Linked DNA regions of Oryza sativa Japonica Group. The protein of the gene in region 1 interacts with the protein of each later gene in a pairwise test. Links are inferred from orthologs where the notes say so. Each region holds a gene or a part of one and is shown in the gene's direction. Other genes may lie near its edges.

Region 1 (2,916 bases):
ATGATCTTTTTGAAAGGAACAGTACCTCTGCTTGGCATTCTGAAATGGACATTGATGGTCAAGAACCTGGGATTTCTGAAAGTAGAAATTTGGTTAAGAACATTGGAAAAGTTGTTCGTGATCTAAGATATCTTGGTTTTACATCAATGACTGAGGACTCATACTCTTCTGCAATAATCTGGCTTTTAAAGGTCCAGGCTCACTTCTTTACCTTAAGTACCTAGTGTATACCACATATATTATTTTGGCATGGACAATCTTGAATTTCTGCCTGTATCCTTATCTGAACTCTCAATTCTCATATTGCAGTCTAAAGTTCATGAACTAGCTGGTGATGATTATAGAATTCCTGTACTTGGGTGTGTCAAAAAGTGGATTCAGGTAACCTTTCTTATCCTCATTCAGTCATTTATTCAGAAACATCTCCCTGTCCGTCAAATTTGTTCTGTGTTTCTAGCTTCATATTATACCCGCTTAAGTAGTTGGGTCTTGTAAGGATAAATTATTCTCTGCAGGTTTAGCCTTTTTTCCCTCGCACATATTTGAATTGAAATAAGACTTAGTGTTAATGTAATAGAGCTGTCACATCAGTGCATCTATCATGAGCTAGTGCGCCTTAAGAATATTAATTTTTGTCTCATTGTTCTTTCAATTACTTAATACCTCTTTTGAATCAGTTCTGTAAGTCCATTGTATTTAGTGTAACATGATATCTACTATGCCCTTAATTCCATCTGTAAATGCTGCTCAGCATAATTTGCTGACAATAATTTCTGGGTCTTGCCAGGCCGTTCCTCTTAAATTTTTGCATGCTCAATTGACATATCTGGGGGACTCTCTTGACAATGAAAGTGGATCATCTGGTCTCAAATCACCTTTGGCCTCACGCCCTTCTTCCTTCCCTGGGATTGGCGTTCCTTCAGAAGCCCTTGTGAGATGGCACATGCGCCTTGAGTATTTTGCTTATGAGACCTTGCAGGACCTGCGAATTGGCAAACTTTTTGAAATCATAGTTGATTACCCTGAGAGGTTAGTCATTGTCCACTACATGATGCTGTTGGGCATTGAATATCCAAATATCTTTTCCAACCTTTGATATGCCTGTATTTTCTTTGCACTGTAAGGTGTAGAAGTGTATGCAGATTACTTGTTTTATTGGTAATGTTTATGGTGTCCTGTGTCTTGCTGGCAATCCTCATTTACCTGAAGGAGGTCTATATAGCATGATATAATTTATTTAGTTATTGCTTTTTTTCGTCATCTCTTTTTGTGACCAGTGAATAATTTGTTGCTCTTGAACCAAACATCTGCATTTCTTTTCATGTGCCACACCATGTCTTTTCCATGTTAAGGTCTAACCAAATATGTTCACACTTCACACGGCCATCTCAAACAGAAGAGTTTGCTTATGATATTTCTTTTATGTTGCATTAATTTAGTTTTATTCTTTATGATGTATGTGTTCTTAACTGGAGCACAGTTTTTAATCTGGAAATTTTTGGGTATTGATGAAGCTCTCCTGCCATTGAAGACCTAAAACAGTGTTTGGAGTACACGGGTCAACATTCTAAACTTGTTGACTCATTTATCTCATCATTGAGATATCGCTTGCTGACGGCTGGTGCATCAACCAATGATATATTACACCAGTACGTGTCCACTATCAAGGCATTACGTACAATTGATCCCACTGGTGTCTTCTTGGAAGCAGTAGGTGAACCAATTAGAGATTACCTGAGAGGTAGAAAGGACACTATCAAATGCATAGTAACAATGCTCACTGATGGATCTGGAGGAAACGCGAACGGAACTGGAAATGCTGGGGACAATCTTCTGGAAGAATTGAATAGAGATGCTGAAAACCAGGAAAATGTTGATTATGATGACCATACGAACATTGATGAGAAGCAAGCATGGCTAAATGCTGAAAGGTATATTTGCTCTCTGTTTCTTGAACTATTAAGAAATAATTGCTCCTTTAATAAGTACATCAATAAAACTGCTGTCATTGTGATTCCAACTTTTACAGCTGGGAACCTGATCCTGTGGAAGCAGACCCATTAAAGGGCAGCAGGAATAGAAGGAAAATTGATATTCTTGGACTTATTGTCAGTATAATTGGGTCAAAGGACCAGCTAGTCAATGAATATCGTGTAATGCTGGCAGAAAAACTGCTCAATAAATCTGATTTTGATATTGATTCAGATATCCGCACGCTGGAACTGCTTAAGGTTGGACTGTTACTTTTGTGATTGTCTTCTTAGCTATGCCTTTTCTATGTATTTGATTGAATTGCATATGATGCTATTCCTTAGTTGTTATCTCTATTTTTTTTAATGATGCTGTTGTTTTGGCAGATTCATTTTGGGGAGAGCAGCATGCAGAAGTGTGAGATTATGCTTAATGACTTGATTGACTCAAAGAGAACCAACTCAAATATTAAAACATCTTTATCAAAGACATCTCAAACTGGTACTGCTTAAACTGCGAGTGCTTGTACCAAACAGATCAAATGTTACAGCGTTTGCATTTAAACTCTCTTCTTTTTTGTCAGTAGGAACTGTGCAAGAGGAGACAGAATTGTCTCATGAGGTTCTTGACGCAACTATAATATCCTCCAATTTCTGGCCACCAATTCAGGTATGGTACAAAGCTTTTATCGAAACCATCATGGTAACTGTTGAGCTAAATTAGTGTCATCTGTCATGTCTTCCCTTTTCTTATTTTCTGCTGGGGCGTGGGGAGACCTATGACTAAAATAGTCTTCAGTTCTCATACTAATATTTCATATGGTAAGGAGATGTTGATTCACAGCTATTGTAAATTGGAAATCTCTAATCATGTTGAACTTGTTGCTCAACCAAGAATCATGCGGTCAATTACTGATGTTCGATCTTTACTGTTTATTTCACTTGA
Region 2 (3,837 bases), on another chromosome or scaffold:
CGTAACTAAATCTATAATCACAGCATATCTTGATCCATTAGTTGTGTCAGATAGTTCATTGTATTTACCACATCTGCATGTAGGTACACTGGCAGAGTGGAAGCTGCAGCTGAGCAATTTGTACAAGCTCTGACTCTTGATCCTCTTCTATGGGCAGCATACGAGGAATTGTGCATACTAGGTTGGTGCGTTAATACACTATGAGTGAAGTTTTTTAGCACCTCCATTCCTAGTTTTATACATTAGAATTACATGCGTCAAGTGTTGCTTCACCACAAAGATTTATTTCCTAAATGTCTAGTAGTAGGAAATGAAAAGTACAGTGTTGATTTTTCTGAAGAAGAACACGTCATCCAAAATATGTGACTTGCAGTAGACCTTCAATAGGCCTGTTATGTGTTTTGCATCATAGTAGTTTTATTCTGTCATTCATTATTAGCTTGATAGATCAATAAACAGGCATAATATTTTTAGCCATTATGTTCATTACTCCCTCTGTCGATTTTTTGACCAACAAATAGTCCAACAATATGCAGAGGCTGCGATACAGAATTGGTGTCATTAGATTCACTTTTGAAAGTACTTTCTTGTTATCATGATTTTCACATTTAGAGACCTTATAAAAAAAACAGGGATTAGTTCATTGCCATACATGCCCATTGATATGCCTAATGTTGATACATTATTATTTTTGCATACCGTTGCAGTTACACTATGGCCCAGTAGTCCTTATATTGAAGGCCTCATACTCACTAAATATAAAAGCAAGCATATACCATGTGTGTCACTAATTAACTATCTTGTAGGTGTTGCTGAAGATGCAAATGAATGTTTCAGTGAAGCAACAGCTCTACGTCTTCAGCAGGAACTCACATCCACATCAAATGTGGAAAAGTCAAACTTTGTTAATGAAAATCGGTTTCTATCTTCCAATGTGTCAGCAAGTTTTGGTGATAGTCCTAAGCAAATTAAACAGCTGCATGCTAACACCACTGCAGAAGTATCTGGTTATCCTCATGTAAAGTCAACTGCATTGCATATGCAGAACGGTGCACCATCTAATTTATCACAGTTTGACACTCCATCGCCAACTTCAACGCAGGTCAGCAAAACTTGTTTGGTTCTTCACCCAGTAGGATTAACCAGATACAATCAATTCGTACTTTGAGGAATTCTCCAGAATCTGCACATTTGGTTTATCTAGATCCTCTTCTTACCTTTGTTTGCAAGAAAGATTTGGCATATTGTCATTATTGTTTCTCTGAATCACATGCTTTCAGTTGACCTTTTTGCACATGAAGAGTAACAACTTGGTGTTAGACAGCAGCTCTTGAAGTGCAACATACCCTTTGTAGTGCAGTTGTGCACTTTCTTGATGTACTTCTCATTTACTCTGACTAGGTGTAAAAAAATCAAAATCAAACTAATTACATGTTATGAGTAACAAAAATGTAAATAATCTGCCAAATGTTAAATCACAAGGAAAAGGAAAGCGAAAAATCAAATTATACTCACAGCAAAGTTTGTATCTTTTGGTTCACTGTTATATGCTTCATGGTGGATATGATGATGAGCAGTGAAAGAGTGACAGAAGCATATAGCACACTTTAAACAACATCACAATACAGTGTAAAGACATGTGATCTATGGTTGCGCTATCACAATTTTCTATTTAATTAATTTAATTTTTGCAGGCTTCTGGCATTGCTCCACCACCACTCTTTCGGAATATGCATGCTTATCAGAATACAGCAGGTGGCAATGCTCCTTCCAAACCAAAGGTTAATGCTCCGAACCTGACACTCCGAAGAAAATACATCGATGAAGCAGGCCTAAAGAAGGTTGTTGTTTCCTCAACTGAAAGATACTGTCTTGCAACTTCTATAATTTCTACTGATCTCTTGAGCTTCTAGGTTTCTCTCGGTCGACTGTCCTCTTTCAATAATTTAAATTGTTAGATTAAACCTCTCGGAAAATGATACGTGTTTGGAGTAAACCACATACTTGCTGATCCTCTCCAGTTGTGCATACTAGCATTGCTTGTTAATGCATTAGTATTCATTGGCTCATTGCATTTACAGCCTAATACTTCCTGGTTGTATGAGTCTGTAGAGTTTCAGTCATGGCTGTTCTATCAGGATTCAGGATGTTGATCCCTTGCTTCTACCTAACTGCGTCTGCATTGCAAAGTTTGTGATTGCGGTCTTCTTTTTATTTGTTAGTTTGTATTGCCCATTAATTAAGATTCATTGACTATGGATAGTTCTGTTTGACAGTACCAGACTACCCATCAAGTTTGTACCAACACCCAGCCCCAGCGACGAGATAGTTTACCTGATAATAGCTGATTTGTCAATTTTTGATAGTTTACCATTCATTAACTTTGAAGTATATCTCCGATGGTGTTTTTGTAACATTCTAGCTGCTAGATTGTTGCCTCATTTTCATCTTTGCATAGCGCCTTACGTTCTTCACTTTCCATCAGCATTCTTTTGTTCAATAATAGTGGGATATTATCATTGTTTTCATTTTGTTTTCACAGGTTTGTCCATGTAGTACGGACTGTGGAACCAGCAAATATTTTTTGTAGTTTCGTTCTTTTCATCTTTGATTTATTATTGCCTTCGTTAGAGCTCATCTCGTCTAATATTGGACCTATGTTTCTATTGTTCTGTTGCTTTGAGGTCTGGCTGTATAGTCTCTTTTATGTTCTTTCTGTTGATAGTCCTCACACCATGCTCATACCCCACTTTAGATTTGACTTGTGATGATACCAGACTTAAAAGATTATTTTTCTCAGTTAAAAGATTATTTTCTCAGGTTTCTGGAAGGCTGTTTAATCAGAGTAGTGATTCAGTTCCTCGAAGAAGTGCAAGACTTTCTAGAGATACAACAATAAACTCAAACTCAAATATCTCTCAATTTGGAGGGAATGGAACAGATCACTCGTCAGGTAAATTGCGAGTAAACTCGTCCACACCATCAAAATTGTGTTCAACAGCTCTACGTTCCGTGCAAGTTAGGAAAGGGAAACCACAGGCAACAGAAAATTTTGATGAAGGTGATTACCATTTCGACATGGATGACTCATCAAATTATATAAGCCTCAAATTATATAAGCCTCAAATTATATAAGCCTCGCAAAAAATGTGGTTGATATGTTGTTATAGACACTGCAATCAGGATATATCTGCATGTTTGCTTATATGTTCATGTGCAATGGGTTCACATTAGTAAAACTCACTCATCAATATTGTATTGATTGTACTTGAAAAGTACAATAATGACACCAAGCCACAACTCACAAGGCATTTAGGATGCTAAGAAACATCATGCAACTACTCACCGAATTTATTGGCTGTTCATGTTAATCCATATACCTTTTAAATATCTCTATTATTGAGCTGAAATTTTAAGCATCTATAATACCACCAGAACATTATCAGCTATCATTCAACCCTTGAAGTGTCTCCGTTATCATATTGTTTTTAGTTTCTTCTTCATGTAGCATATGAACTGCAGAATTGCTTATCCTTTTCTTTGGCGCCTCATGTTAGATCATTATTCCTAAAATACATAAATATTTACATCCAGATTCATACATTTTTACTGTATCATTGCTTGTTTGAACTTTTCACTCCTATGGATAAGGTTTCCTGATTATTGTGATAAAAAAAAATCGAAAGGAACTTCTTGCACCATGAATCCTGTTTCAAGAGCCCTAACACTTAAGACTTTTAAAATGATCACACATCCTTCTCCTTCACTGGATGCAGGATCATCCAATCCATCAACTTATCCTTTTCGATATCATAATTACGTGGTTTGTGAAATTAT

The links.
Region 2: the proteins of anaphase-promoting complex subunit 2 (region 1) and cell division cycle protein 27 homolog B interact in binary tests that used the Arabidopsis thaliana proteins (3 or more experiments, as listed by UniProt). The link is inferred for Oryza sativa Japonica Group from reciprocal best matches to the Arabidopsis thaliana genes APC2 and HBT.

Annotation. Positions count from the first base shown.
Region 1 is NC_089038.1:24,728,758-24,731,673, forward strand, and holds part of anaphase-promoting complex subunit 2, read left to right. Parts: coding exon 1-191; intron 192-309; coding exon 310-381; intron 382-787; coding exon 788-1,029; intron 1,030-1,514; coding exon 1,515-1,931; intron 1,932-2,029; coding exon 2,030-2,231; intron 2,232-2,357; coding exon 2,358-2,472; intron 2,473-2,554; coding exon 2,555-2,640; intron 2,641-2,916. UniProt on the Arabidopsis thaliana protein: Component of the anaphase promoting complex/cyclosome (APC/C), a cell cycle-regulated E3 ubiquitin-protein ligase complex that controls progression through mitosis and the G1 phase of the cell cycle.
Region 2 is NC_089040.1:25,890,641-25,894,477, reverse strand, and holds part of cell division cycle protein 27 homolog B, read left to right. Parts: intron 1-83; coding exon 84-181; intron 182-806; coding exon 807-1,102; intron 1,103-1,694; coding exon 1,695-1,841; intron 1,842-2,820; coding exon 2,821-3,061; intron 3,062-3,837. UniProt on the Arabidopsis thaliana protein: Component of the anaphase promoting complex/cyclosome (APC/C), a cell cycle-regulated E3 ubiquitin-protein ligase complex that controls progression through mitosis and the G1 phase of the cell cycle.